4 linked regions of the Pelodiscus sinensis genome follow. The protein of the gene in region 1 binds, or shares a complex with, the protein of each later gene. Links are inferred from orthologs where the notes say so. Each region holds a gene or a part of one and is shown on either strand. Other genes may lie near its edges. The genes, in order: PAK4, ITGB5, LIMK1 and INKA1.

What was found.
Region 2: the proteins of PAK4 (region 1) and ITGB5 are in contact, whole or in part, in a crystal structure (PDB 7S46), measured with the Homo sapiens proteins. The link is inferred for Pelodiscus sinensis from reciprocal best matches to the Homo sapiens genes PAK4 and ITGB5. Residues at the interface, in NP_001014831.1 of Homo sapiens: Gly330, Ser331, Gln358, Arg359, Leu362, Thr404, Lys442, Ser443, Asp444, Asp458, Phe461, Leu475, Val476, Gly477, Thr478, Pro479, Tyr480, Trp481, Met482, Glu507, Glu512, Phe516, Asn517, Glu518, Pro519, Pro520, Met524; in NP_002204.2 of Homo sapiens: Ser762, Arg763, Ala764, Arg765, Tyr766, Glu767, Met768, Ala769, Ser770.
Region 3: the proteins of PAK4 (region 1) and LIMK1 are in contact, whole or in part, in a crystal structure (PDB 6WLY), measured with the Homo sapiens proteins. The link is inferred for Pelodiscus sinensis from reciprocal best matches to the Homo sapiens genes PAK4 and LIMK1. Residues at the interface, in NP_001014831.1 of Homo sapiens: Glu329, Gly330, Ser331, Gln358, Arg359, Leu362, Thr404, Asp440, Lys442, Ser443, Asp444, Phe461, Leu475, Val476, Gly477, Thr478, Pro479, Tyr480, Trp481, Met482, Glu507, Phe516, Pro520; in NP_002305.1 of Homo sapiens: Lys505, Arg506, Tyr507, Thr508, Val509, Val510, Gly511.
Region 4: the proteins of PAK4 (region 1) and INKA1 are in contact, whole or in part, in a crystal structure (PDB 4XBU), measured with the Homo sapiens proteins. The link is inferred for Pelodiscus sinensis from reciprocal best matches to the Homo sapiens genes PAK4 and INKA1. Residues at the interface, in NP_001014831.1 of Homo sapiens: Ser331, Gln358, Arg359, Glu361, Leu362, Thr404, Asp440, Lys442, Ser443, Asp444, Phe461, Leu475, Val476, Gly477, Thr478, Pro479, Tyr480, Trp481, Met482, Arg489, Glu507, Glu512, Phe516, Asn517, Glu518, Pro519, Pro520, Met524; in NP_976248.2 of Homo sapiens: Gly178, Arg179, Ser180, Arg181, Gln182, Pro183, Leu184, Val185, Leu186, Gly187, Asp188, Asn189, Cys190.

Annotation. Positions count from the first base shown.
Region 1 is NW_027465946.1:419,725-426,745, forward strand, and holds the start of PAK4 (serine/threonine-protein kinase PAK 4), read left to right. Parts: upstream 1-4,009; 5' UTR 4,010-4,010; coding exon 4,011-4,035; intron 4,036-7,021. UniProt on the Homo sapiens protein: Serine/threonine-protein kinase that plays a role in a variety of different signaling pathways including cytoskeleton regulation, cell adhesion turnover, cell migration, growth, proliferation or cell survival.
Region 2 is NC_134717.1:11,252,624-11,260,580, forward strand, and holds the start of ITGB5 (integrin beta-5), read right to left. Parts: upstream 3,002-7,957; 5' UTR 2,549-3,001; coding exon 2,470-2,548; intron 1-2,469.
Region 3 is NW_027465956.1:66,399-74,404, reverse strand, and holds the start of LIMK1 (LIM domain kinase 1), read left to right. Parts: upstream 1-5,002; 5' UTR 5,003-5,102; coding exon 5,103-5,160; intron 5,161-6,254; coding exon 6,255-6,351; intron 6,352-8,006. UniProt on the Homo sapiens protein: Serine/threonine-protein kinase that plays an essential role in the regulation of actin filament dynamics. Acts downstream of several Rho family GTPase signal transduction pathways.
Region 4 is NC_134721.1:46,340,369-46,348,133, forward strand, and holds the start of INKA1 (PAK4-inhibitor INKA1), read right to left. Parts: upstream 3,001-7,765; 5' UTR 437-3,000; coding exon 257-436; intron 32-256; exon of another isoform or gene 1-31. UniProt on the Homo sapiens protein: Inhibitor of the serine/threonine-protein kinase PAK4. Acts by binding PAK4 in a substrate-like manner, inhibiting the protein kinase activity.

The sequences.
Region 1 (7,021 bases):
GAGCTTTGGCTACTATAAGGCACCTTCTGTCTGTTGTTGCTTCAGCTGAGCTGATACTATGCATGGCAGGGTGTCTTGGTAAGCTCCCTCAGGCAGCAACTGTCACGAACGTGCTGTAGTGGGGCCCTGGTCCATGCTTGTCTCCTAGGTGTTACCATGATACCAATAACTCATTTCCACGGCCACCAGAACCAGCAGTGTCAGCCAGGGTAAACCGAGCTCAGCCACTTCTCAGTGGGGGCCGTGCGAGTTAGTTGAGCTTAACTTACCCCCTGTCCATAGAACTGCTACGCCACTGAGCTCAGATGTTCTTTGCAGAAAACAGAATGTGCTTCAAGACAAAGGCAAGTGTGCAAATGACATCACTCAGGGCTTTTTCAGGGTGGGGTGAGGCTGACTTACTCTGACCAGTGTGCCTAAGTCAGGATAAGGCAGATCTGTTTGGGGAGCTCCATACTTGGAACCCCACAGCAGCCTGCTTCCCGGATATATGGAAGAACCCAGCTTTTTGGCAACCCATGGGTTTTCTTGCAGTCAGACTCTCTCTCCTCTTCATTGTATTACTTTGGTATGTGAAGGTGGTGCTAGGAGTTGCCAGGGTTTGTGCACACACTCCTGGGTGTGTGCTGGCAGGAAGGAGTGCTCTGCTGTGTGTTGTTTATCCATGGCTGGGAAAAGTGTTGGTTAATGGCTGACTAATTAAACGAGGCAGAGAGATAAAGGGAATGTGACCTGGGTTAGGACTGCAGGCTGTGGAATGTGTCACTCTAACTGGAGCACAGTTTGGTGTGGAGCTGCAAGAGGGGAACAGTAAGGGGAATGTTGCAGGGGAGGGGAAGGGTTAGACCAGCTGGGCAAAATGATCATGAAAATTCATCAGCCAAGATCCCAAACCTGCTTCCTAAATGTGAGGATGGCAAAGCTAGTCCTTGCTGCTTCAAAAAATCACCCTGAGTCCTAGATTGCTCCCTCCTAGCCTTGGAATGTAGGGTTTAAACAGCCACCGTGGTAGCTTCCCCCTGGAGAAGGGACTTGAGGTGCCCCCAGCCTTCTCTGCTCCAGCCCACCAAAGTACACTCGCCTCCCAGAGCAGGGGCTAGAAGAACCCAGGAGTCCAGTGGCAATGGGATTTGCCTCATATAATTTCTAAAGCAAAACCTTTTAGGGGAAAAAGCCCATAAGGTAGAGTTTTGCAAGATTAATGTCCATACTGAGCTGGAATAATTGGATGGCAGTAGTTGATCTTGTAGCTCTGACCAGTCCTGCATAAGGCTTGGAGGGGGTGTTGCCAATATACTAATATCGTGTGTGTATGTGTGTGTGTGTGTGTGTGTGTGTACACACACGCATGCATGTGCAAAATACATCTGGTGTAAAGACCCATGTGCTTCCTGAGAAGCAGGCATAAGCCAAACCCCAGCCCAGCACTTTTGAAAATAGTCTCACAACAGGGTAGTGAATTCCTGCTTTTTTCATTGATAAGACTCAGGTATTGTGCTGCTGGCTGCAGGTTTCTGCTGGGACAAAAAGGAGAAACTTGACTCACTGGGGACCAAAGATCCTAGCAAGAAACTTTCTTGGGACAGTGAAAAGAGGGTGTGAGGTGGTTACCATCCCCTGGGAGGCTTGTGACACTGAGTCATTACCTGGAAGTGGGGTGAAGCTCTTTTCCTGGATGATACAAAAAGCTGGCCATCACTCCAGTGTGACTAATAGGGACTAGGGAGGCATAGTTGTGGGCATTGAGGCTTTTCACTAGTGCTTAACTCAGGTGAATGCAGGCAGCAGGTTTCCCTGAGTCAGCAAATCAGGTAGGTGACACAGCAGTGCTTGGCCAGCCCTGTGGATGCTGGTTCTCTGTGAAGAGAATGATTCCTGAGCACGAGGGCTGGGGGGCTCTCTAATAGGCCAGAAGGTCACTGTGAAAATCAAGGCATTGGAAGCTGTTTTCCTTAATTGTGCCTATTGTAGAGCCTAAGCACAAGCCAAGATGGGGACCCTCGTACTTGGTGGGACAGAGTAGTAGGCTGTCCCTTCCCTAAGGACAGGGCAGCATTTGCTACTCAGAAGAAACTGGATGGGGGTGGGGTATCCGTGTGGGGAAAGATGTTCCCCACACTCCACAAATACCCAACTTGCCCTGTGCTTCAGGAGTACCAGATGGCTTTGAGCTTCTTTATAGGATGTGCTGGGGGGAAGGGAAATCTTGCAGGCTGGGAAAGAGGGTCTCTCCTGGTACATGAAATACACAAGCAGCTGAAGAACATCTGAGACCGGCTGGATGCCTTCCCACTTCATGTGGGAGCTGGGCAGACTGCAGGGGGAGCTAGCTACAGTGACTGAGGTCTGTGACCACAGCTGGCCAACACATGAGGTCTCTAGCACCTGGGAGGATACTTCTGCCTTCCCCTGTATTCTTGCCCCTCACCCCTCCACTTGCAATCTAATCAGTCACCTTTTGAGTCCAGGTCTCCTGTCCCAAAGGAGCCGTTGGGTGGATTGGGCTTTGCTGGAAGTGAAAGAGAGGCCTTTCTCCTTTTGTGTTCACTACTTGCTGAAAATGCCACTGGACCTGCGCAGGGAACACGCTTGAGAGCATAGGACTCAGGTTAGGAGCTCTGTGTATTGTATCTGCCCTCGGGAACCCATTAACTGGTTAAATGTAACTTGTATTTGATTAACTATTAAACAGGATTTTATATTCCTAATGCAAATAGGAGTAATACCCGTTGGGCCTCCCTTGTCCGGCACCCTGGACCTGAGTGGTCCTGAATGAGGGAGTTTGCTGGACCAGAGGAGGTCAGGCTCAGGCTCTCCTGGGGCTTCCCTGTGAGTCGCTGATCTGGCCAGTGCTCTGCCCTGGGCCTACTGGCAGGGCTTCCTGCCCCTGGCTGCACTCCTGGCCAGTAGGGCTCCCTGCCCCAGTCACTGGCCTTGCTCCGGGGGCTCCCTGTCTCGAGGACACTGAGCTCCCACCCATTGAGGTCCGTGACTGGGATCCTTTGGTCCATCAACATCCGTGGTCCTGCCGGACCAGAGAGGTTCATCCTATATTTGTCTCAGCAGCCCCTGGGATAGGCATTAATGGTTTAAGTATATAAAGCTCTTTGAGATCCTCTGACCAGGCTGCCATATAAGTGCTGAGTACCACTTAATCCCTGTGTGAATTCAAACATAACAAACCCCTTCCATTTTAACAGGGCACAGGTTGCTTCATTTCCTCTTCTAAACTAGTGTGTATACGGCTTGTGCTGTGCAGCTGCTGCCACATTCCACCCAAGAGGTGGCTGTATTTCAGTGTTGTGGCGTATTATATGGCAGTGTTTCTCAACCTTTTTTTATAAAGTACCCCCCCCCCCCGTGCCTACAATTTTCAGACACACACCATTTTTTTTCTACCATTGCAATACATTTCTTTTAAACAACTTAATTGTAGCCGGGCAGGTGATGACATTTTTGGGTGTAAAAAGTACAAAAATAATAAAGCACTGTAAAACTGAAAACAAATTCAGTTTTCTCCAAATTTCAGTTGTTTTGATGTACCCCCCAGACTTCTTTCGAGTACCCGTAAGGGTATGTGTACCACTGGTTGAGAAACACCGTTATATGGGACTGAGATGAACTAGAATGCCTGTTTTGTATGGCAGTGTTTTTTGTCTTGTTACCTTACTCCTTTTGTTGTGGGACTGGAAAAGCTGCCAGGGAAACTTGCAGAAGCAGATCCCAGAGGGAGCTTGGTAAGGTTAAGTGCTGGAATTTACAAACCGAGTGGGCGGGATCTCTGACTCCTGGCCTGGGAGGAGCAAGTAGGCAGGCCAGCTGGTTGGTGCTGGAATGCTCCTAACACATGCAATTCAATCTTGGAATGGGGGAAGGAAGGCTTCTGCCAACCAACCAACTGACTTCTGTGGGAGGAGCTGCAAGGAGACAGGGAGGAGGAGTCTAAGAGTAATAAATAAGGAGCATCTGTTTGCAGTTGCCGCACAGCCTCCTGCACTTCACCAGTAGAGATGCAGTCCCATGAAGAAATGGCATGTAAGTTTTTCTTTTGAATGCCTCTTTGCCTTGTAAGTAGCACAAGTTAATGCTCTGTGATCCTTACGGACGGCCTCTTGTTTCAGAGGAGCTTGGTCAAAGGCCTGATATCCAAGTGGTGTGTATCTGGTGGCCAAACCTGATCCAGTTAGCCGAGGTAACTAGGGAATGAGATGTGAAGCGCTCCAAACAAGTGGGGGGAAACAAAAATGCTTCTGCAATCCAGTCAGGCACACTGCATTCCTGGGATGTGGCCAAGTTTAAGCTTCTCTCAGTGTAGTGGAAAAAGAACTGATGGGACAGGGTGCAGTCTGTGGTCACCTCTCTATGGCAAGCACTTTGTTGGAAGATGCTGTAATACGGGGAGGGTTTTTTGGTCATGCTCTGTCAGCCTCCAGAGTCTGACCAGGCTCTGTCCATCTCCTGTGCTTTTGTGCTGTACTTGGAGAGGTTGCATATCTTCTCCCATTAGTAGACATGAATAATTTGATGTGCCTTTCCAGACCTGCCAGTGTCTGGGTGGGCGAAAGAACAATGTGGCCATTGCATGTCAGCATCCGTTTCCGATGGTTTCTCATTTAGTACTTTAAGAAACAGATAATTTAGAACAAAAACCAATCAAGTGGGGAGCAGTCTGAAATGCCGAGCTTCCTTTTCTTTTTCATCATCTGTTTCCATGTTCTTGATCTGTTCAGAACTCTTTCAGCTGCGTTGGCTGCTTTTGTCAACAAGCTGGCCTTTGTTTTGCCATCAGGCACCAGAGGCAGCAACAGGGTTGGAACTACTTCGGTGCTGCATATGGGCAGAAATCTTGCCCTCAGACTTTCGCTGGCGTGAAGATCTGTAGGGATTATCTCTCTTAGTTGCCCTGCTGATGTAAACCTAGTCCTCACACAGCCAAGGTAACCTGGCTATAGGCGAGTGAGTGTTCTGCAAAGGTACCAACAGAAAAGGGTGGAAGGCATCTTTTTGCTTTTTTGGTGTTTACAATCCATGAATGGCTCTAAAAATTAAGTCTTCACATTCATATTTTGCCGTTTTGGCGTTGGGTGGGTTAAACACGTGTGTATTAATCTGCAGATTTTCCAGTGCTGTCCCTTAGGATTCCAGGTCCTAGTCCTGGGAATTTTACCCAGGAATGGGCATCAGTCTTGCACTTGATATCGCGGGAGCAGCGTCGGGGTAGTAAGTGCAGTGCACTGCACACCCGTCACATCCAGGGAGACGCCTCCACCGATCAGCTTAATCCATCCTGTCTGTTGAATTGTTGGGACCAATAGGCAGCGCAGGGATTGCGGCTATTTCTGTCCCAACTGGGGGAGGGTCTGGTTAGCTGTGGGGACTCTCTTGGGTAAAGAGCATCTTGAACTGGTGACCTACACATCCAGAGCAGGTCTGGAGTGACGCAGCTGGATTGTTCAGTGGCGTATGTGAGCTGGAAGCCCTCGCTGGCACCTGGCCACCCTCATTCTTGGCAGGCTTGGCACAGAGATCATAGGGGTGGAAATCCTCTGTCATCGCTAGTCCTTCCAGGTCAGAGGGGAAGCTGGCCAGGCTCCTGCCTGGATTGTCCAGTTGTGTGGATTAGGACTCTGTGTTTTGTGCAATGCAATTCATTTTAATCCATGGTTGGGTGCCTTCATGCTGCACTAACCTGCTTAATACTAAAAACCATGAGCAGTCTGGGGCAACGTAGAGACTCACAAATATATTCGATCAGGTGAGAAGTGGGTTTTACCCAGGAGAGCTCCTGCCCTAATGTAATTTGCAAGCTCCACCTTGCTGCCTCTATTAGTGAGAGAGCCACATTCCTGAGCCCCCATCATCAGGGTGACCTAGCCCCAGGGTGCAGGCAGCTAGAGCAGAGGGAACGTTCTTCCATCAGCCCAGCGGCCTTCCTTAGGGAGGTGGGTTTGCTGTTATGACTGAGAAATTCTGTCTATTGCTGTAGAAAGCGTCAGCACTAGGCTGCCCATAGCACTGATGTGGCCTCCGTTTCCAGAAGCTTCCATGTTGCATCTTTACTAGCACTAAATTTGTAGGGCCTGGTCCTCTCTGGAGCCTGGCTAGTACTTGGATGCAAATCAGCTGGGAACCCCCGTGGGTGCTGTAGTTAGCCCTTCTTTACAATGTTTCTCCTTAGTTTATCCATCCCCCTGTCCTTCCTCTCCCCACCCCCCTCAGCAAGGATTCCTCTAGAGTCAGAGAGTTTACTTGCAGGAGTAAAGTTTGCATGAGAGCCCTAAATAGTTCATCAGTTCAGAAAGACCAAGAAACCCTGTGGCACCTTGGAGACTAACACACATATTGGATCATGAGCTTTTGTGGGTAAAACCCACTTCATCAGACGAATTCAGAAGGTGTTTCATGCAATTCTGTTGCCTGAGCAATACATTAAACTCTGTGTGTGTGTTAAAGATGTAAATCCAGAAATACTCCTGGTGCCGCATCATTGAGAATCTGCTTTGTTCCCTGTTAACCCCCTGACCTCCTCTCAGCTAAGGAAGACGGCTGTGCCCACCCACTGCTGCTTTGAGGAAGCCAGGATGTTTGCAGACACCTTCTGGGTTCCTTAATGCACTCAGCTGATAGTTCACCAGAGTCAGGTTACACTAGGGAGGAATGAGGCTCTGGCTGTTTCCTAAAGAGGCGTCGGTTTTCTCTTGCTTTGCCCCTTCCCCCCCATTACAAATTTTGATTCAACATCTGGTTTTTGAGTTTTAATTTTTCATTCATTCATAAGAGGAAACTCTTCTTGTCTCATTCACGCTGAGGATGACTCGACTTGTCTCTTAGCAATGTGCTCTGAGGATTTGGGGGTAGAATGAGATTGACGAGTGCCTACATCACTGTGTCTGAGAAGCTTGGTAAAGGAGTTGCTGCAGATGCTTGCCTACTCCGGGCCCACCAGGTGATGTTGCCAACCAGCTGCATTTAATAACATTGTATTATGGGGTTGGCTTGGATGAGCCAGCTGTTGAGTTGT
Region 2 (7,957 bases), on another chromosome or scaffold:
TAGCACTATTCACAGGATGAATAGCTTGTAAATGAAGCTAGTTAAAAATGTAAACACAAAGGATACATAAATGAATAGTGAACTCAAAGCAGTTTATTGGGCTTTCTTTATAAAAGACCAGTACTACACTAACAGAGAATGCCATTTCCAGTATTATCAGAGCTGTTTTAATAGGTGTCCAGGAGCCATAAAAGCATCCCTGCTGAGGAGAACAATGACAGCTCTCTAGAATAAGTGCAATCTTCACATTAGGCCTGAACCTGAGCCAGGAGCAATATAAGGAAAGGCAGCCTAGATATCAACATATAATAAAACAAGTTTATGGTTTTTATTAATACTGTTATTCTCCATCTAGATCACTGAAGGCCTGTAACCCAAACACTCAGAGAAGCCTAACCAAAATTCCAGGAAGGAATATTTCTTCAGTTGAAGTTGATTATAATCAACATTATTCCTTTTCATGCCAAGTAGAGAATGGTTTGAGTTGTAAAATACTGATCCACAAAGTTTAAGGTGGTCCACATCCAGGGATGTGGTCTCTAGACCACATTCAATAATAGCAAATCTCTACCAATTCTGAATGTAAGGCATTAAAATGAAAAAAACCCCATGAGGACCTAGATATTTGCCAATGAGCAACAACATGCAAGTTCTTTGCACTATGGAGCAAAACACAAAAATTGTTTAGAAACTATTGGAAATTAAAGCCCTTCATAAAAATTGCTCTCTAGTCAATATGACTCTTGGCATGCTCTCTATTAGTCTCTCAGGGCACTTAGAGAAAAATAACAGGCCTGTTCAGATAACTACTTCTTGTGCTATTGTGACAATTTTTGCTGCACCTGGATACAAAGCCCTGGTCAACACTGTTATTTCAGAGTAACACATGAAACACTACACTACAAAGCCAAACTACACTACACAAAGCCGTCCACTCTACAAAGCCTGTTATTTTGAAATAAGGGGCTGGTTACTTCGAAATAACTCCTGCTTTCCTCGGGGTATAACGTGTATTTCAAAATAGCAATAATGTGGACACTCCACTGCTGCTATTTCAAAATAACTACTCCCCAGAGTCATTCAAAGTAATTACTCCCCAGTGCTTCCTTAGGCTCTAAGTCAAGGTAGCACATCTCCATTAGGGGAGCTGGCTTCGGACTAATTTCAAGGCTGCCCTGTAATGCAGACACACTATTTCAAAATAGTTATTTTGGGAGTTATTACTTAAAAATTAGTTATGTAGTGTAGACACGTCCAGAGATCTAGTAACAGAAGGGTAAGCTGATCACATGAGGTTTCCTGGGCTTAGCTGAAGACAACACACTTCAAGTGTGATTTCTTAAAGCTACAGAAGTTTTGAACAACAAGGCACAGGTGGTTGTTATTTACCACTGTGATTTTTGGAAACTGAAAAAATATATGATAAACAGTAAACATTTTGGAATATAAAACACAAACAAAACACAGAAGAAAAATCAAGAGAATCTTTGCACTGGTTAACTGCTCTATTTAATTGGGACTAACTTAAAAGTACAGAGCATGAAAGTTATTTTTGGTTATGTGGTCTCTGGGATTTTTTTCCCCCCATTCGGATTGATAGTAAAAAGGGACACACCTATCCAAAAACCCTTGAGCACCCTGACACCATTTACAAAAATAAAATGTAACAACCTGCCCCCAAATTTGATGGAGTTGGCTGTTTTCTGAAGCACAGGTAAAACAAACTCATGCTTTCATTGTTTGGCTTAACTAGGGGAACTATGGACTGTAAAAGGATGATGCACGTGCATGCACTTGGTGAGATCTCTCCCTTTCCCGGTGCATTTCTGAAGGTGTTTCAGAGTAACTCTGCACTGCATCATCAGCCTTACACCAGATACAATTCTCCATGAAACTAATTCAACTCCTTTATCAAAAGCCACTTATGACAGAGCCAACCCAGGCATTCAAAACACCTCTCCCCGACATGAACAGTCCTTGGCTCGCAAGGCGGGGAGGGGAGGACCTACTACAGAGATCTCTTCTGGATAAATGCCCCCAATCTGCGGTGGCTGCCCCCTCAGTGGTGGGCGAAGGGAGCTCTGAGAGAGACAGCGCTTGGACAGAGCTTTTGAGTCGAAAGGCTCTGGACTGGAGAAAGCCCCAGGACCAAGGCAATGGAATTCAAAACAACAGGTTATTTACAACCTTCAAACCACAAAGTGTTTTCAAGGAGCCTTTTGTCCTGCAAGAGGCAGCCCCAGGAAGGGGGGGGGGGGTTCCCCTCTAAGAAAGGCGGAGAGGGGACCAAATCCAGAACTGTGGCCCCCCGAATTTGGTGCTTGCCAGGACCCCCACAATTAGTCACTTCCCTCGCCCCACCCCACGCCGCACGCCCCACAGCGCTGCCTGTTCCCATTCGCAACCCCGCAACGAAAACTCCTCAGTTTGCAACTCGAAACAACCCGCCGGGCCCGGGAGCCAACTTACCCCTGAGGCTGGGGAGCAGGGAGGAGAGGAGCAGCAGGCAGGCGGCGCTGGGGGGAGCCAGCCCCCGTCTCCGGGGCATGCCTGCAGAGGAGCCCGCCGCGCTCTGCTTCCCTCCCGCCCGGCGGCGGCTTTAGCGGCGGCAACAGCTGGAGCCGCAGCTGCCTGCCCGGCAGGGGGCAGCGCGCTGCTCGGCCGCGGCGGCAGGAGCGATGCCGGGCTGGCGGGCAGGCATTACTGCCCCGGCGGCCAGGTCACAGCGGCCGCCGCCCCGGGGGGACCATGCAGCGAGCCCCGCCGCGCCTCCCGCCCTCAGGGGATCCCCACCCCGGCCATCAGCAGCCGGCGCCGGCCTGGGCTGCAGCGCCGCGGGCTCACAAGCTGCGTGGTGGGACCGCCCCGTTCCCCAGCCCTCGGAGGAATCCCTTCATCGCGCCCTGCCCGGCTCTGGCTCACGCTGCTGCTGCTGTCCCCTCCCTCCCCGCCTGCTCCGCTCCCTCCTCCGGTCTCCTCCCCCTGGGTCTGCCCCACGCTTCCAAGGCTCAGCAACTTTCTGCCTGCAAGACGGAGCGATTGAGAAATCTCCCCCAGCTGACCCGTGAGCACGCAGGGCTGCTGAACACTTAGCTGCCCGCTGGGAGTCCTCGCCCGGCGCACACACGCCAATAGACACACAATCGCTCCCAGGCTCCACCCAGACACACAACCCCTGACCTACACACCCTCACAGCACTCTGCCCCCGGATACACAGCACGCACAAGACTTTCAATTAAACCCACACAATCGCACACGCCCCAGACAGTTCAAACACATACTCTGAGGTATGCAAACAGCTACAAAGACGTACCTCACACAAATTCTCAACCCACACACCTCCTGTCCAAATGGGTATGGTTTTATAACTTGCCATGGCTTGGCCGAATTCACTTTTTATTTTTTTGTAAATTCAGTGGCTAATGTCAATGTTTATTCCTAAACATTTTATATTTTTATCAACTTTAATTTTTAGAGTTGTGAGAAATTGTCACCTAAGAAGGAGCCTAGTTATTATTTAGTGATGGCATATGCTGAGATTCAACAAGTAAAAGTTTCATAACCATTTAAACACAAATTGTCAATATTAAATGTAAAAATATACAGTTACAATACAAATATACAGTATCCTTAAATCAAACTAATACATTTTCAAAACAAGTTTTTCTTATTTGGTCTGTCTATAAATGTTTATTTTCAATAGAAGTATTTTTCATCAGTTGTGTACACACTGTGAAATCAACATTTTACTAATACAAATTCAATTCTTTTAATGCCTGCCCTCCATTTGCTTACATTAATGTCTTGTAGTGCATTTCTGGAAACATAAAGAACAATTCAGATCTATAGAATCGCCTGTCTACTGTTAACTCCAAGTGGAAGGATTATTTAAATATAATTCCCTGAATTTCCTCGCTACCTTCTACAGTTTCAGAAGCAGGTTCAAAAAAACATATTTTCTATCCATTTGTAGCAGTTAGAAAACATTTCAGTTCTAGAGGCCGACTGTGGGTTTATTAAGGCGTTTCAGTTGCTGTTTTGATTTACTACTTTCTTTTTCATGGATTATAACCCAGTTCTGTAATATTAAAGGAAAATTCCAGTAATTAGTTATACTAGTTTAGGCTTGAATTCTAAAAGCTTTTCCACTACCTGTCTGGCTGGATTGAGACAGAGTATGAGCCTAAGAGACACGAAGTGCACACATCTCCATTCCTAAATCTAATATTTACATATGTAAACATTTACATATGTAAATATTATAGTGTTCAGAGTTATTTTTGAAAAAATGGTCAATTGTGTTGTCATAACTAGGAAAGATTATGAAACTGGATTTATTCTAACTATTTGTTATCTATGTTCAAACCTTCTGTTAGGAATTGTTGACACACAAACGTGCCACTTTCACTATACCAATATATATACAGCAGTACAAACCCCTTAAGGTGGACACAGTTGTACCAGGATAAATGTACAGCTTCTTCTCACATGGGAAGGGGAATAAGCAGTCTTAACCCTGAAATTACAAAACCCTAAGTCAGACCCCACAACAATCATGCTGGGTTGGGTTTGCTTATTGTTTTAAAGATTATAATGTGTATTTGGCCTGCCTTGATTTTTGTACTTCTTCCACCAGTGCCCAGTCTGTGTGTGTGGGAGACACAATTAGACTGCCAACACTCCTAAATTTATGTGATACACTAAAAAAACAACAAATAGTCTGGTAGCACTTTAAAGACTAACAAAACATGTAGATGGTATCATGAGCTTTCATGGGCACAGCCCACTTCCTCAGATGACGAGAGTGTTAGATGTCCAGAACTAAAATAAATAGGGGAGAAGGAAAAAAACGGGAGGGGGGGGGAAACAAGAAGAGGTAGTGAGTATAAATATCCCCTTGATATTTTTATAACCACTACCTCTTCTTGTTCCCCCCTCTCTAATTTTTTTTCTTCTTCCCCCTTCTTTTCCCCCATTTATTTTAGTTCTAGTCATCCAACACTTTGGTCATCTGAAGAAGTGGGCTGTGCCCATGAAAGCTCATGATACCATCTCATGTTTTGTTAGTCTTTAAAATGCTACCAGACTATTCCTTATTTTTAAAGTTCATTCTGTACAGACTAACTCTGCTACCCCCTAAAACTTTTAAATTTATGCAGTAATTTTGGCCCCCACTACAGGAACTTTTGCCCTCACATCCACCTTAACCCTCTGCTAAACAAACAATCAGGAGCGGCCCTAGACAAGCTGCCGGCAACTGGCGCCCTGGGCGAAACATGCGATCGGCGCGCCCGCCTCCAAAGCCCTCAATGGCCGTTTAACTTAGCGCCCTAGGTGACCACCTAGTTTGCCTGTATTGATGGGCCGCCACTGCAAACAATCAGTGCTATATCACAACACCCTACCCCCTTCCTGATCATTTCTGCCCATTCCCTCACCCCTGCTCCTCTTGCAACACTTGGACCTTCACTTTTGCAACCCTTCCCTAACAGAGATCCCCTTCAAACCGTCACTTGATATACAGGCATATATAGGGATATACTTACGTCGGATCCACACTTATGAACGGGGCTTTTCTCGCCCCGGAACTCGCGGGTGGCGGGACCACTCAGACGCGCAGTAGTCCCGCCACTACATCCTCCGGGGCGAAAAAAGCTGCTCCAGGTGTCCCTGGTCTGCTGGGGGGGGGGGTCCCCAGCAGACCAGGGACACCCGGAGCAAAGCCTTGGAGGCGCGTGACCCCGCCGCCTCCGCGGCTTTGCTCCGGGTCTCCCTGGTCTGCTGGGGGGGGAGGGGGCGCAGCTAGTGCACCCCCCCCCCCCGCCCAGCAGACCAGGCTTTTGTTGTGGATGCCTGGGGTAGAGCAGCTGGGGTGCTGCCGGGTTGGTCCTGGGGGGACCTACCCGGCAGCGCCCCAGCTGTTCTGTCCCAGGCTCCAGATTCAGCCGCTGTTGAAACTGATCAGTGGCTGATTCCAGGAAGCTGGGGGCAGAGCAACTCTGCCTAGGGCTTCCTGTAGTCAGCCCCTGGTCAGTTTCAGCAGCAGTGGCTGAATCTGGAGCCAGTTCCGAGTTACGTACAAATTCAACTTAAGAACAAACCTACAGTCCCTATCTTGTACGTAACCCGGGGACTGCCTGTACTGAGATACCACTGAACCTGCCTACCTGCTCTTTGTGGCACCCCACCAGCCTGGCCTGCTGAGCCAGATCCTCTAGTCTCCTCCAGCGATGGTACAGAGTTGGGGTCACAGCCCCCAGTAAATCAACACAGACACTGACATTAGCTCTGGGAAGGGTTAGTAAAAGGGAGTAGGCACAGCATTCAGGTGCATAGCCTCAATGGGACCAGAAAAATCTATCTTCCTCTGTATAAACTTTATACAGTGCAATCTCATAAATTGTTCACCCAGTTTATCAATTAAAAAGTTATGCACAGCTGTTGTTCTGTGCCAGGATAATATTTACACTGGGTTTATTAATAAAATGTGATTTTATTAAGTATAAAAAGTAGGATTTAAGTAGTTGTAAGTAATAGGAACTTACTTTTACTTCAGGGGGGAGGGATAGCTCAGTGGTTTGAACATGGGCCTACTAAACCCAGAGTTGTGAGTTTAATCTTGTAGAGGCAATTTGGGGCAAAAATTTGCCAAGGATGGTACTTGGTCAGGCTGTGAAAGCAGGGGACTGGACTGGATGACCTTTCAAGGTCCCTTTCAGTTCTAGGCGATAAAAAATTAATTAATGGAGATTGCCTAATTATTTTTACTTTGATCTATCTGCTGAGCAAAACAAAATGTGCCAGCTAAACTGAAGACACTAAGGACCTGTCTACACTAGGAAATTATTTCAAAATAACTTATTTCAAAATAATAATTCCCAAAATAATAATTTTGAAACAGCGTCCCCCCACTACGGGGAAGTCTCAAAATTAGTCTGAGGCAGGCTTCATTAATGTGGACATGCTCCTTCAACTTCGAGCCCCAGGAAGCGCTGGGAGTAATTAGTTTGAATTACTCTGGGGAGTAGTTATTTCAAAATAGCTACACCGGATCGTCCACGCTACCATTATTTCAAAATAACTATTCAACATTAGCATTATTCCTCGTAAAAAGCAGGAGTTATTTTGAAATAATGGGCTTGGTAGTGTGAACATTCTGCTTGTTATTTCAAAATAAGGGAAATTATTACAAAATAACTCCCTAGAGTAGACCAGAACTAAGAAACTTGCTACATATAAAATTTCACCCTGAAGTTTTTAACCAGCATCTGTCACAGACTGGGCAGCCTTCCCCATCTGGGCCTAGTCTTAATATTCAGTTCCACATGTTTGCAGCAGACATCTTAGATGGCAAACAGGGGTGTCCTGGCATCTGGCTATCATCCCAATTGGTTTCCTGCTTATATACAGATTTTACCCAAATCTGGAATCCTTTGTGTTCAGTTCAAACTTTTCTCACCTTCAGTGAGAAAGTATGATATCCAAGATGGGTTCCAACATCAGGTGCCCTGGCCACATGTCTTGTAGGACCTGCCATAGTCCAGGCTTATAGGAAGAATAAGACTATTCACAGATCATTGTCCCAAGTACAAGGCTTTTAAGCTCCTTGAGTACTACTAATGGCCCTCACTTAGCACATCTACATGAGTAGTCAGGTTTATACTTTAAATACAGGAATGACACATGCACACAAATATACACATTCAGCAGTTTATAATTTCTTAAATGACATGTTACTTGAAGTATTTTATAGAAAGTGTTTTTAGTTACGTCATTGCTATTTATAAGCATTTTTTCCATGAGGAATATGGAAACCCCTTTTCTCAGGCCAGAATTGTGTAAGACTGCAACAGGGTTCTTTTCTCCCCCTTCCAGGCTGGGGGGTGGTTGTGTGTCTCCCCTTTTTTGCTCCTCCCACCTCTTCCTTCCCCTCTTCCCAGGCCTGAAATTACAGCT
Region 3 (8,006 bases), on another chromosome or scaffold:
GGGGTCGGTCGCTGGATGGATGGATGGGTGGGGGGGGTCGGTGGATGGATGGATGGGTCGGGGGGTCAGTCGGTGGATGGATGGGTCGGGGGTCGGTCGGTGGGTGGATGGGCGGGGGGTCGGTCGGTGGATGGATGGGTCGGGGGTCGGTCGGTGGGTGGATGGGCGGTGGGTCGGTGGGTGGGTGGATGGGTCGGGGGGTCGGTCGGTGGATGGATGGGTCGGGGGGTCGGTCGGTGTGTGGATGGGTCGGGGGGTCGGTGGATGGATGGATGGGTCGGGGGGTCGGTCGGTGGATGGACGGATGGGTTGGGGGGTCGGTCGGTGCATGGATGGATGGATCGGGGGATCGGTCAGTGGATGGATGGCTGGATCTGGGGGTTGGTCGGTGTGTGGATGGGTCGGGGGGTTGGTCGGTGGATGGATGGATGGGTTGGGGGGTCTGTCGGTGGATGGATGGGTCGGGGGGTCGGTCGGTGGGTGGAAAGGTCGGGGGGTCGGTCGGTGGATGTTTGGATGGGTCGGGGGTTCGGTCGGTGGATGTTTGGATGGGCCAGGGGTTCGGTCGGTGGATGGATGGATGGGTCGGGGGTTCGGTCGGTGGATGGATGGGTCGGGGGGTCGGTCGGTGCATGGATGGATGGGTTGGGGGGTCGGTCGGTGCATGGATGGACGGGTCGGGGGGTCGGTCGGTGGATGGATGGCTGGATCGGGGGGTTGGTCGGTGTGTGGATGGGTCGGGGGGTCGGTCGGTGGGTGGAAAGGTCGGGGGTTCAGTCGGTGGATGTTTGGATGGGTCGGGGGGTCGGTCGGTTGATGGATGGATGGGTCGGGGGTTCAGTCGGTGGATGTTTGGATAGGTCGGGGGTTCGGTCGGTGGATGTTTGGATGGGCCGGGGGTTCGGTCGGTGGATGGATGGATGGGTCGGGGGGTCGGTTGGTGGATGGATGGATGGGCCAGGGGTTCGATCGGTGGATGGATGGATGGGTCGGGGGGTCGGTCAGTGGATGGATGGATGGGTTGGGGGTTCGGTCAGTGGATGGATGGATGGGCCGGGGGTTCGGTCAGTGGATGGATGGATGGATGGGTCGGGGGGTTGGTTGGTGGATGGATGGATGGGCCAGGGGTTCGGTCGGTGGATGGATGGATGGGTCGGGGGGTCAGTCAGTGGATGGATGGATGGGTCGGGGGTTCGGTCAGTGGATGGATGGATGGGCCGGGGGTTCGTTCAGTGGATGGATGGATGGATGGGTCGGGGGTCGGTCGGTGGATGGATGGGCCGGGGGGTTCGGTCAGTGGATGGATGGGTGGATGGGTCGGGGGTCGGTCGGTGGATGGATGGGTCGGGGGGTCGGTCGGTGCATGGATGGATGGGTTGGGGGGTCGGTCGGTGCATGGATGGATGGGTCGGGGGGTCGGTCGGTGGGTGGAAAGGTCGGGGGGGCGGTCGGTGGATGTTTGGATGGGTCGGGGGTTCAGTCGGTGGATGTTTGTATGGGTCGGGGGGTCGGTCGGTTGATGGATGGATGGGTCGGGGGTTCGGTCGGTGGATGTTTGGATGGGCCGGGGGTTCAGTCGGTGGATGGATGGATGGGTCGGGGGTTCGGTCGGTGGATGTTTGGATGGGCCGGGGGTTCGGTCGGTGGATGGATGGATGGGTCGGGGGGTCGGTCAGTGGATGGATGGATGGGTCGGGGGTTCGGTCGGTGGATGTTTGGATGGGCCGGGGGTTCGGTCGGTGGATGGATGGATGGGTCGGGGGGTCGGTTGGTGGATGGATGGATGGGCCAGGGGTTCGGTCGGTGGATGGATGGATGGGTCGGGGGGTCGGTCAGTGGATGGATGGATGGGTCGGGGGTTCGGTCAGTGGATGGATGGATGGGCCGGGGGTTCGGTCAGTGGATGGATGGATGGATGGGTCGGGGGTCGGTCGGTGGATGGATGGATGGGTCGGGGGGTCGGTCAGTGGATGGATGGATGGATGGGTCGGGGGTCGGTCGGTGGATGGATGCATGGGTCGGGGGTCGGTCGGTGGATGGATGGATTGGTCGGGGGGTCGGTCAGTGGATGGATGGATGGGTCGGGGGTCGGTCGGTGGATGGATGGATGGGTCGGGGGTCGGTCGGTGGATGGATGGATTGGTCGGGGGGTCGGTCAGTGGATGGATGGATGGGTCGGGGGTTCAGTCGGTGGATGGATGGATGGGTCGGGGGGTCGGTCAGTGGATGGATGGATGGGTCGGGGGTTCGGTCAGTGGATGGATGGATGGATGGGTCGGGGGTCGGTCGGTGGATGGATGGATGGGTCGGGGGGTCGGTCAGTGGATGGATGGATGGGTCGGGGGTTCAGTCGGTGGATGGATGGATGGATGGGTCGGGGGTCGGTCGGTGGATGGATGGATTGGTCGGGGGGTCGGTCGGTGGATGGATGGATGGGTCGGGGGTTCAGTCGGTGGATGGATGGATGGGTCGGGGGGTCGGTCGGTGGATGGATGGGTCGGGGGGTCGGTCGGTGGATGGATGGATGGGTCGGGGGGTCGGTCAGTGGATGGATGGATGGGTCGGGGGGTCGGTCAGTGGATGGATGGATGGGTCGGGGGTCGGTCGGTGGATGGATGGATGGGTCGGGGGGTCGGTCAGTGGATGGATGGATGGGCCGGGGGTTCGGTCGGTGGATGGATGGATGGGTCGGGGGTCGGTCGGTGGATGGATGGATGGGCCGGGGGTTCAGTCGGTGGATGGATGGATGGGTCGGGGGTCGGTCGGTGGATGGATGGATGGGTCGGGGGGTCGGTCGGTGGATGGATGGATGGGTCGGGGGTTCAGTCGGTGGATGGATGGATGGGTCGGGGGGTCGGTCGGTGGATGGATGGATGGGTCGGGGGGTCGGTTGGTGGATGGATGGATGGGCCAGTGGTTCGGTCGGTGGATGGATGGATGGGTCGGGGGGTCGGTCAGTGGATGGATGGATGGGTCGGGGGTTCGGTCAGTGGATGGATGGATGGGCCGGGGGTTCGGTCAGTGGATGGATGGATGGATGGGTCGGGGGTCGGTCGGTGGATGGATGGATGGGTCGGGGGGTCGGTCAGTGGATGGATGGATGGATGGGTCGGGGGTCGGTCGGTGGATGGATGCATGGGTCGGGGGTCGGTCGGTGGATGGATGGATTGGTCGGGGGGTCGGTCAGTGGATGGATGGATGGGTCGGGGGTCGGTCGGTGGATGGATGGATGGGTCGGGGGTCGGTCGGTGGATGGATGGATTGGTCGGGGGGTCGGTCAGTGGATGGATGGATGGGTCGGGGGTTCAGTCGGTGGATGGATGGATGGGTCGGGGGGTCGGTCAGTGGATGGATGGATGGGTCGGGGGTTCGGTCAGTGGATGGATGGATGGATGGGTCGGGGGTCGGTCGGTGGATGGATGGATGGGTCGGGGGGTCGGTCAGTGGATGGATGGATGGGTCGGGGGTTCAGTCGGTGGATGGATGGATGGATGGGTCGGGGGTCGGTCGGTGGATGGATGGATTGGTCGGGGGGTCGGTCGGTGGATGGATGGATGGGTCGGGGGTTCAGTCGGTGGATGGATGGATGGGTCGGGGGGTCGGTCGGTGGATGGATGGGTCGGGGGGTCGGTCGGTGGATGGATGGATGGGTCGGGGGGTCGGTCAGTGGATGGATGGATGGGTCGGGGGGTCGGTCAGTGGATGGATGGATGGGTCGGGGGTCGGTCGGTGGATGGATGGATGGGTCGGGGGGTCGGTCAGTGGATGGATGGATGGGCCGGGGGTTCGGTCGGTGGATGGATGGATGGGTCGGGGGTCGGTCGGTGGATGGATGGATGGGCCGGGGGTTCGGTCGGTGGATGGATGGATGGGTCGGGGGGTCGGTCAGTGGATGGATGGATGGGTCGGGGGTCGGTCGGTGGATGGATGGATGGGCCGGGGGTTCGGTCGGTGGATGGATGGATGGGTCGGGGGTCGGTCGGTGGATGGATGGATGGGTCGGGGGGTCGGTCAGTGGATGGATGGATGGGTCGGGGGTTCAGTCGGTGGATGGATGGATGGGTCGGGGGGTCGGTCGGTGGATGGATGGATGGGTCGGGGGGTCGGTCAGTGGATGGATGGATGGATGGGTCGGGGGTTCGGTCAGTGGATGGATGGATGGATGGGTCGGGGGTTCGGTCAGTGGATGGATGGATGGGCCGGGGGTTCGGTCAGTGGATGGATGGATGGGTCGGGGGGTCGGTCGGTGGATGGATGGATGGGTCGGGGGGTCGGTCAGTGGATGGATGGATGGATGGGTTGGGGGTTCAGTCGGTGGATGGATGGATGGGTCGGGGGTCGGTCGGTGGATGGATGGATGGGTCGGGGGTTCAGTCGGTGGACGGATGGATGGGTCGGGGGTCGGTCGGTGGATGGATGGATGGGTCGGGGGTCGGTCGGTGGACGGATGGATGGGCCGGGGGTCCGGTCAGTGGATGGATGGATGGGTCGGGGGTCGGTCGGTGGATGGATGGATGGATGGGCCGGGGGTTCGGTCAGTGGATGGATGGATGGATGGGCCGGGGGTTCGGTCAGTGGATGGATGGATGGATGGATGGGCCGGGGGTTCAGTCGGTGGATGGATGGATGGGTCGGGGGTTCAGTCGGTGGATGGATGGATGGATGGGTCGGGGGTCGGTCGGTGGATGGATGGTGAGCGGGTCGGGGCTGGGCGGATGGGTCGGGGGCTCAGCGAGGGGGGGTCGCGGGATACTTTACAGCCCCGGGGGTAGCTGTTTGTCTGTAACTTTCAAGCGAGGGCTCCTGCGGCACCGTAGGGACCGACACACGGAGCCAGGCGCTTTGGTGGGCGAGCCCCGCCGCCTGAGCGTGTGGCGGGGGGGCCCGGGTCATCGCCCGCGGCGCCAGCTGCTGCCAGGGGTCCCGGTCCCGCTCGCCCCCCTCCCCTCCTTCTGTGGCGGCTCTTTCCCAGGGCGCCGCGCGGTTGGCCAGCCCCGGCTGCTGCTCCCGCCCCGCTCGCCGAGCGTGGCCCTGCCCTCCCGAGCCTGCCCGGCGAGCCGGAGCGAGCCCGCCGGCGGCGCGCCCAGGCCGGCGTCGGCCGCATGAGGTTGATGCTCCTGTGCTGCACCTGGCGGGACGAGCCCATGGGCGAGGAGGAAGGTTCGTAGCGCGGCCCGGCCCGGCCCGGCGCCGCTGCGCTGCAGATGGGGGCGCCCCGCCAGCCGGCTGCGGGCAGGAACCGGCGCCGCTTCTCCGGCCCGGCCCCGGGCTCTGCTCGCCGCCCGCGGGCCCCGCGCCGTGACCTTGAGCAGCCGGGGCCGGGCGGGGCACCGAGCCCCCCCGTTCTGCGCTAGGGAGGCCTCCAGGGCGCGTCCCACTGCGGGCAGCCCCGGCCTCTGCTGAGCCAGAAGCTGCCCCCCAGCCCTGCTGCCGGGGGGCGCCGCCGGGATCCCTGCTCCACCCTGGCCCCTGCATCCCTCGCCAGGAGGCCCGCGTGGGGCCGGGGCTGTCCGCAGCCCTCGCCTATTCCCAGGGCATCAGGGGCCGGGTCACCTGCAGCCTCCCCTCCAAGGCCCCCCCCTTGCAATGTCCTTTGCCAGCTGCGCCCCCACCCTGGCTGCGGGGGGCTCATCCTGTGCCCGCCCCTGGCTCCCGCTCCTCTGAGCTGGGGCCTGGCCTGGGGTACAACAGCCCCTCTTGTCCTAGCTGCCCTGCCCACGCGCCAGCGCACGGCCCCTCCCCGGGCCCACCTATCACCTTACTGCTGTGGGCAGCTCCGCTTTCAAGCTGTTCTCTTTCCACCTCCCACGGAGCTGGGTGCCCTCCCAGCCTCTGCTGCCAGCGCCAGGGCCTCTGTCCTGGTAGTGGGGAGCAGGCAGCAGCCCCCCTGCTCCTGCTGGCACCCTGCATGTCCAGCCTGCTGAGGGGCAGACTCGGTCCCCCCTCCTCCTCCTCTGCCCAATCTCTGTTCCCCTTCCCCCTTTCCCCTCTCCCTTTCACCCCCCACGCCTCATCCTGCCTTCACTGCATGCTCCTGCCCATGCATGCCGGCTCCTCCTTCTCCTCCCTCACATGGGTCCTCTGCCCACGGTGCCCCCTGCTGCCCTGTCCCTTTCCCACCCACTCCCCTGCCCACATCTTTCCCCATGGTTGCCTTAACACGTGCAGGGCCCTTGGAGCCAGACTGGCTCTCCTGGGCCTGGCTGTGCCCTTGCACGTGGGTGTGATAGCCAGTGCCTCTCTGGGCCCTGCAGGAAGCGACCTGCCTGTGTGTGCAAGCTGTGGGCACAGTATTTACGATGGACAATACCTGCAGGCCCTGGATGCCGACTGGCACACCGACTGCTTCAGGTAGGAGCCTCCAGGGGCAGCCTCATGCCCCAGCCTGGCCGGCTGGGTACAACAAACACTAGAAGTCCAGGGACAGATGCTGGTGTCGCCTCCTGGTCGTGGCCACAAGGTGGCAGTGTGTGTGTGTGTGTGTGTGTGTGTGTGTGTGTGTGTGTACACAGGCATATCTCACTCACACAGATATACACGTGCACTTCTCACTTACACACACGCGCGCGCATATACACGTGCGCTATCTCGCTCTTACAGTGTCCTGCACACATATGTACACGCGCACACACTGTCTCACACAGAAACACACACACACAGTCTTGCACAGATATACACATGTGCATTGTCTCACAGAAATATACACACACACAGTCTTGCACAGATATACACATGTGCATTGTCTCACACAGAAATACATACACACACATACATACACACACACACACTGTCTTGCACAGATATACACATGTGCATTGTCTCACAGAAATACACACACATACAGTCTTGCACAGATATACACACGTGCATTGTCTCACAGAAATACACACACACACAGTCTTGCACAGATATACACATGTGCATTGTCTCACACAGAAATATACTGTGACGACGCGTCGGGATTTTCCCATCTCCTGCACCCCCGAAATGGCATGAACAGACTTCACCAGCCAGTAGAATGGAGGTTGTTTATTGTTCCTCCAGCACAGCGCAGCACAGATGTAATCTGGTTACAGGAACTGGGGCTAAGAGGCCTCAGTGCCCCCCTTGAGATAGGGGAGTCCCAGCCCCCCCCCCCAGCTCCTTCTTCCCTGCCTTCCAGCCAGGAACTAACTTCCCCTCTTCCAGCCCTGCCCACAGCCAGGGCAGCATTCCACCTCCCTTTGTTTCTCCCCATGGGGGGCCGCAGGTCAGACAGGTTTTTGAGTCACCTTTGCATAATGAGGTTTTCCCTGCTGGGTCTTGCTCCAGACAGCAGAGGTCACCACAGCCCAGCAAGTACCCCCACTACGTCACATATACACACACACAGTCTTGCACAGATATACACATGTGCACTGTCTCACACCCACAGCACTCTTGGGGTGAGGTGTTTTGGGAGGTGGGGGGGTTGCAGTTCTCCCTACAGTCCCGCAGGGCCACACTGGGATGGTGCTGTGGAGTCCTGGCACACCCTGGTGGTTTATGATCCTTGCTCTCTGCTTTGGATTCTGGCTTCCCTGGGCTCCTCTCTGCCCCCAGCACAGACTCTGCTGGATACATCTCGGCCTTCGGCGCCGGCCAGGTACCTCCGACTGCAGCCCCCCGCACTCAGGCAGTCAGGAAGGGCTGTGCCAGACCCAGACCAGCCAGGGAGACCGGGCATCCCTGCTGCAGTTGGGGCCTGGCTGGGGAGTGCGGGCGGCTTTGCTGGGCCCCATGGGTGATGCCCCTCATGCCTGGCTGGGCACAGGCAGGGCCTGGCACGTCGGGCAAGGGGGAGGGACTGGGAGCGTCCAGCGCCCCACGTCCTTCAGCTCCACCTGTGCCCACGGTTTGCTGCCAGGCCCCTCCCTGCCACTCTGCTGCAGGCCTGGCCTCTCCCAGCAGAGGGCGCTGTGGGGTTTCTAGCAGGTGCAGGACCACGGGGAGGGGCTGGGAGCAGGCAGCAGCAGCCCTCCTGTGGC
Region 4 (7,765 bases), on another chromosome or scaffold:
TCCATGCCCTGCCCCGCCCTGCCCCCAAATGTCCCATACACATCATGGCCTCCCATGCCCTACCACCACCCCATGCATCCTCTGCCCTGTCCCCACAGCTCCCTCCATACATTCCTGCTCCCCCCACTTCCATAACCCCCCCCACACAACACCCTCCCCCATGCACATCCTGTCCCACCCCCACCCTCCCCCCACATGCAGCGTCCTCATGGCCACCAGGTAGCGGCTGCCTCCCTGCAGTCTCCACCTTGCTCACCCCCAGGGCAGCTCCCAGATGACTCACTAGGCTCTGGGCTCCCAGGCAGTGAGGCCAGCTGGGGGCTGAGTCCCTGTCTCCTCTCCGGCGGCCACAGCCCGTCCTGCGGTGCTGAGGGCACCAGGCTGGGCCCGGGCAGTGGTCTCTGCAGCTGCAGCAGCGTCTGCCTGGGCTGGGCATGGAGCTGTGAGGGGAGCCGCACACGCAAGGCCCCACTGCCTGGACGCGCACCCAGCCCCAGGGCACCACTTTCCGGCTGCTCCTGCACTCAGCGGCCCATCCCCGCCGCGTGCTGCAGCATGTCGGGGTGAGCAAGCAGCCGCCCCGCCCTGCCGGCAGCTGCAGCCACAGCCCGGGACGTGACAAGCAAGCAGCAGCTGGAGTTGTGCAAGCCAAGCCTGGCTAGAGACGCAGGGGCAGGGAGAGCTCGGCACTGGGGGGCAGAGCCACGTGGGGGGACCCTGGGTCCCACCAAACCCTGCAGTGCAGGGCAGAAGCCTGGGAATAGACCACGGGGCAGGGGCGCTTCCCCACGCAGCCGGCGCAGGCCTTGGGCCCAGGCAGGAGAGAGCTGAACTATGCAGCAGGGCCAGGCCCATGCAGGGCACCCCCAGCAGGACCTGCTCAGATCCCTTTTCAGTGCCACCCCCGGAGCTGTCCCATGCCCTGGCCTTGCTCTAACCACTAGCCCCCACTCTTGCCGACAGCAGGGAAGCCCTGGGTGCTGTATGCGTAGGGGCCAGCAGGGGTGTGCGTGGCTGGAGGGGAGCGAGGGCAGGCGCCGCCAGGCCGTGGAGCAGACGGGTTTAGGGCCTGAGCAAGGCGAGCCCGGCCTGAGACACTCCCTGGTGCTGCCAGCTCCATGCTTTGGGGTGGGGCTCTTCGTGCTTCCTACCACCCCCACGTCCCACCACGCCCACTAACCGCCTCGGCTCCCGCTCAGCACGCTGCTTAGGGCGCGGCTGCACTTCCCAGAAGGAAACCTTGGCAATTGCAGCCCGGCCCCTCTAACTGCCACAGCCGAGACACGGGGCCCGAGCCCAGGCCGCTCCCGTGCCACAAGGGGAACAACCACCGACCCATCGCCACCCTTGTGGCCCTGCCAGTGGCGATGGCACCAAGGGCAGGCTCACTCCACAGGCTTTGTCCCAGAGATGTGTCAGTGCCAGCTCCTAATTGCACCGCAGAGCATGGGGCACATAGTCTCGGGGGCCAAGGGACCCAGGGGGTGTCCAGCTCTGGGTTTGCTCCCAGGCTGTTCTGGGCCAAGCCAGCTGCCTGAGCATAGTCCTGCAGGGGGTGGCTTGGAGCAGCTGGGCCTGGCAGCCTGGCCTCCAATGCCACAGAAACTGGCACCCGCTTGGCTCCGCCGAAGCTCCAGCCTGAACTGGGCCAGACTCGCCCTGAGCTGCTGCTCAGGAAAATACCCGGCCAGCAGGCAGGCCCGATGGCCAGGGCCAGGCCCCCGGCAGGCAGAGAGGTCATGCCCAGGGCTCTGGGACAGCTACACAACCTCCCTGTTCAGCCCCAGGGCAGACCCCCAAGGGCTCAACAGCAGCTACTATCACTTGTCAAGCCCAAAGCCTGAGCCAGTGTGTGGGGATTGGTGCACCCAGCTCTGACATCACCACCCCCGGTAGCTGATTGGTTCCTCAAGGTCTGACATCACTATCCTTGGTGGTTGATTGGCTCCCACAGCTCTGATGTCACTATACCTAGGGGGTTGGATTGGCTTCCCTAGCTCTGATGTCACTGTCCCTGGTGGCTGATTGGCTCTCCCCATTCTGATGTCACTGTCCCTGGTGGCTGATTGCTCTCCCCATTCTGATGTCACTGTCCCTGGTGGCTGATTAGCTCACCCCCATCTCTGATGTCACTGTCCCTGGTGGCTGATTGGCTCTCCCCGTTCTGATGTCACTGTCCCTGGTGGCTGATTGCTCTCCCCATTCTGATGTCACTGTCCCTGGTGGCTGATTGGTCCCCCCCATCTCTGATGTCACTGTCCCTGGTGGCTGATTGGCTCTCCCCGCTCTGATGTCACTGTCCCTGGTGGCTGATTGGTCCCCCCATCTCTGATGTCACTGTGCCTGGTGGCTGATTGGTCCCCCCCCATCTCTGATGTCACTGTGCCTGGTGGCTGATTGGTCCCCCCATCTCTGATGTCACTGTGCCTGGTGGCTGATTGGCTCTCCCCGCTCTGATGTCACTGTCCCTAGTGGCTGATTGGTCCCCCCATCTCTGATGTCACTGTGCCTGGTGGCTGATTGGCTCTCCCCGCTATGATGTCACTGTGCCTGGTGGCTGATTGCCCCCCATCTCTGATGGCACTGTCCTGTCACCCCAACCAGCTCTTAGGCACACTGTTGACATCAGCTGGAAAACAACAAAAATGCCGCTTTGTATCAGCAGCCTAAAGCGAGGGGAACCCCCCCCCGCCCACAGAGACAGCGCAACCCCCACGCTGAGCGCTCCCGCCTGCTGCCCCACACGGGAACCGGGACCCTGGCAAGGAGCCAGATTTTCAGACATGCCCAGGGCCATGGGGGGACAACAAGGGGGCAGTGCCCGGGTCACGCGGGGCGCCGGGACCATAGGCCCGGCTGGGGGGGGGCGCAGGCTCCTCTGGCTTTTCGCGAGTCCCTGCTCACGTCTGGAACTCGTGGCCAGACAGCGCCCCGCTCCGCGGGAACCCCCAGCCGGGCAGCCCAGCGCGCAGAGAGGGCAGGTCTGCCCGCGGGGAGTCCCGGAGCCGGGCAGGGGCCACCCGCCCCGCGGTGCCAGGCGCGCCCCAGACGCCCCGGCCCGCGCCCCTGGCCTCTGCCAGGGTCCCCCGCGCCCTGCCCCGCCGGCCACTCACCACCTCTGCGCGCAGGCGGCCGAGGGAGGCGTCCAGCCGGGCGCGGCGCATGTCGGGGCTCGGCGGGCTGGAGCCCAGGGCGCCCGGCGCTGGCCCGGAGCCGCGAGCTGGTCCCGGCGCTCGCCGTCCCAGGCCCGGCCCCCGCCCGGAGCAGCCAATGAGCCCCGATCCTCCCCTTCCCGGGCCGCGCCGGGCCAATGGGCGGCCGCAGTAACGTGACTCCCGGGGCGGCGGGGGCTGGAGCCCGATGCGGGCATCCCGGGGCCCGACGGCGCGAGGGGCCCCGGCCGAGCCGCCAGCCCCGGGCACCAGCCGCCCCTACCGGCCCCCCAGCCCCGGGCACCAGCCGCCCCTACCGGCCCCCCCCCTCCAGCCTGGGCACCAGCCGCCCCTACCGGCCCCCCCCCTCCAGCCTGGGCACCAGCCGCCCCTACCGGCCCCCCAGCCCCGGGCACCAGCCGCCCCAACCGGCCCCCCCCCCCCAGCCCGGGCACCAGCCGCCCCAAACGGCCCCCCCCCAGCCCGGGCACCAGCCGCCCCAACCGGCCCCCCAGCCCCGGGCACCAGATGCCCCTATCGGCCCCCCAGCCCTGGGCCCCTACTGGCCCCAGCACTATGCCCTTTGGGGCCCAGTACCTCCTGCGTTTCAGGTGGCCAAGTCTAGAGTCGCCCCAGAGCAGCACCCCAGCCCCACCATTCCCACCTCCTCCTGCAGCCCAGGCCATACACCTGCAGGGGGTGGGGTCGCATGGGGCGGGGGGGAGTTCTCTTGCACTTTAAACCCAGGATCCTGGTCCAAGCCCCCAGTGTCCCAAGGGGACATGGCTCAGGTTGCACCGGCCGGAGGCTGCTGGTTTGGTAAAGGCGGCGGGGGCCTCATGCCAGGTGAGCTCCTTTGGGCATTAGGCACCAGGTGAGAAATCCTCTCTTGAGTGTACGTGCGTGCGCATCTAGTGTACGTGCGTGTGCATCTAGTGTACGTGCGTGTGCATCTAGTGTATGTGCGTGTGCATCTAGTGTACGTGCGTGCGCATCTAGTGTACGTGCGTGTGCATCTAGTGTACATGCGTGCGCATCTAGTGTACGTGCGTGTGCATCTAGTGTACGTGCGTGCGCATCTAGTGTACGTGCGTGCGCATCTAGTGTACGTGCGTGTGCATCTAGTGTACATGCGTGCGCATCTAGTGTACGTGCGTGTGCATCTAGTGTACGTGCGTGTGCATCTAGTGTACGTGCGTGTGCATCTAGTGTACGTGCGTGTGCATCTAGTGTACGTGCGTGCGCATCTAGTGTACGTGCGTGCGCATCTAGTGCACAGCTGTGCTCTGTGCTTGTGTCTGTGTGCGGGCATGATCATATACACATTTGTGTGGGGCTTTGCAGGCATGTCTAGGTGCACGTGTGTGTTTGCACACCTATCGGTGCACGTGTTCGTGTCTGCACGTGTGTATGCACATGCACGTTCCTGGCCTGGCCCAGCTCTCCATGCAGACCCTTGGGTTCGTGGCCATGACCTGTGGACTGTGGTTTGCCCTAATGCTAGTGATCTCTGCAGCAGCCCCCCCCACACACACTTCTCCCCGAGTCCTTGGGAACTGGACGCCAAGGGGGAGAGCGCTGCAGGCACCCTCTGGACCAGGGTCGCTGCGCCCCCTCAGCTCTGCTGCCATGTGGGCCGCCCAGACCAGGGGCTGACAGGCTGCTGTGGCTCTCCACAGCCAAGCTGATGTCTCCTTCTGGGACTTGCCCCAGAGCTGGGCCCCTTGCCCCAGTCCTGCTTGGGGAAAGCCCCCTGCACTCATTATGTGCCCTGGTCCCCCACATGCCCACTCCTGCTCTGGCTGGCGTGGGGCCTCCTAGGCTGCCCCATTGCCCAGCAGAGCCCGGCTGGGCTCTTGGGCAGGCCCATGTGCTGAGATGGCAAAGGAGCCGACTGCCCCCTTGGCACTACATGCAAATCACTCCGCGAACCAGTTTGCATTTTAGCAAATAATTTGCATATTTGTATATAACCCTAAACACCATTTAAAATCTGCCACTTTGGTTCCGGCAAAAGGCGTCTGCGGGTGCTTGCCCCTCCCGCCAGCCGGCTCCCGAGCTGGGGCGGCTGCTGGGCCCTCCACAGCCACAGCCTGGAGCTCCCTGGAGAGAGCGCGCACAGCCTGGCCCGCACCCGGAGCCAGGACTCCTGGGTTCCAGCCTGGCTCCGGGCAGGCAGGAGGGACCTTGGAATAGAGCAGTGGTTCAGGCCGTGTCGTCCAGTCTTTCTGCATGGCGGCGAGGCCGTGGGCAGAGCTGTGGGGCTGCCCCTGCCCTGGAGGGCCAGTCGCAGGCTCACGTTGGACTGTGCTGCCCCACCCCATGCCTGTGCCCTGGCACGGAGGGGTTAGGGCTGACATTGGCTGCCCCTTCCCCAGCCCTGGGCCAGGCCCCTGGAGCCTCCACTGGACAGAAGTGCACAGGGCAACTGGAAAGCAGCGGTGCCCCGGTCACTGCAATGGAACGGCTGCGCTCGCTGCGAGCCGGGCCATGCTTGGGGCTGGAGCAGAAGCCGGGGCCTCGGCTGAGAGCAGGGCTGCTTCCTGCGCCCCACGTGCCAGCTGCCTTGTGCCCTCGCCAGCTCCCCCCTTGGGGGTCAGCTTAGCCCCCAGCCCACAAACCTCCCAGCCCAGAGCCCTGGCTCCCACCCGCCTCCAGTCCCCGTGCCCCCGCCATTGCAACCCCCAGCCACTGCAGCCCAGCATGACAAGTGCTTCATCGGCCCCGCCCAGACAGAGGCTCAGGGCTCCCCGTGGGGCGGGGGTGGGGGGCGATGAATCACCTGGGAAGCTGGGCTGCTGCACAGGTTAGAGGGAACACTGCCCCCTGGCCACTCGACCCCCCCACTCCCAGCCTACAGCCCCCTGCTGCCCTAGCGCTGTACCCACTGCTGGGCAGCAGGGCATCTGCTTTCAGTCCTGGCTTTGGCAGAGCGGGATGTGCTCTGGGGGTGCCCTGGGCACAGACAGTGCAGACAATGAGCCTAAGTGTGGGGGTCACGTGAGGGAAGGGCTGATGGACACATAGCCACACCCAGCCAGACACAGACGGATGGACAGCCACGCCCAGCCAGACACAGATGGACGGACAGCCATGGCCAGACGGACAGACAGCCACACCCAGACAGACACAGCCGGACGGACAGCCACGCCCAGCCAGACGGACAGCCACGCCCAGGCAGACACAGACGGACAGACAGCCACGCCCAGGCAGACACAGCCGGACGGACAGCCACGCCCAGGCAGACACAGACGGACAGACAGCCACGCCCAGGCAGACACAGACGGACGGACAGCCACGCCCAGGCAGACACAGACAGACAGACAGCCACGCCCAGGCAGACACAGACGGACAGACAGCCGTGCCCAGGCAGACAGATGGATGAAGCAGACCAAAGAGAGTGGATGAGCTGCCCTGGATCGTCTCCAATGTCTCCACATCTTCCCTGAAATTTGGTGCCCAGAACTGGAGCCAGTCCTCCAGCTGAGGCCTAACCAGCACAGAGAAGGGACGAGAGAGCCAGGGCCAAGGGCCATGGCAGGGGAACAGGCCCTGATGCCAAAGCTGCATGAAGGGGAAACAGCCCAGAGCAAGTGACAGGCCCCTGGGAGGAAGCCTGATGCACGAGGAAGCCCTGGTGAAAATGGCTTGTGAAGGCACTCGTGCAAGGGAAGAGTGGCTCTGTGAAGCCCAGCAAACCAGTGGCTGCCGTCGAGTGCTGAGCCGGGCTTCCAGCCAAGCCGGGCAATGTGGATTCTTCTCCCAGCGACCCAGCCTACTGCAGAGACTCTGCTCCATGTGCCTGGCCCCAGCCGCACAGCCCGGCCATGCTCCCACTGTGCTCTGACTGAGCCGGTCTTTGGTAAGGCCTCTGCCCCGCCTCGCTCAGCACAGCTTGGCCACGCTGGGTCCCCTGCCTGGGCTGGACAATGACGCAGAGCTTCGGCTGCATTCCCAGCAGGCCTGTTACCCGCAGGAAACTGGCCCAGCAGCCAAGAAAATCCTGCAGCAGGAAGACCCATTCCTTGCTCCTTGGCGCTCCAGATGGGCGCTGATAACTGGCCTGGCTGCTGGCCAGCCCAGAGCTATTGTTCCCACTTTGAGAGACCCGAGCGCCCAGCAGCCGAATCAGAGAAAGGCACAAAGGGCTGAGGGCGGCCCTGGCTTCTCTCATCAGTCGGGGCAAAGCCAAGCAGCCCTGAGACGTGCGGAGGAATCACAAGGAAATCGGGCTTAGCGCTGACCGACCGGGCGGGGGTGCAGGAGTAACAGTCGACTGTTCTGAAAGCTCAGACTTTGGAACTAGAAATACAAGGCCCAAGAACCCAGCCCCTCGGCCTGGCGGCAGCCCCCTTCCCAGCCTCTGCGAGCCTGAGTTCTGTGGCTGGTCCGGGCGGGGACTGTACTGGAGTCAGGAGTCGGCCGGGGCAGGATCTCAGGAGTTGGATGCTGGGGTGACAGGAGCAGGAAGCACAAGCCCTGCAGTCCAGAGTGGAGCCCCGTTCAGACAGCTCCCTGGGCCTGCGGCCGGACCCCTGGGTTCCCAGCGAGCAGCTGCTGCCTGCGCCGGAGGAGCACTGAGCCCGGGGCTGTGTCGAGCTCAGTGTGATCTC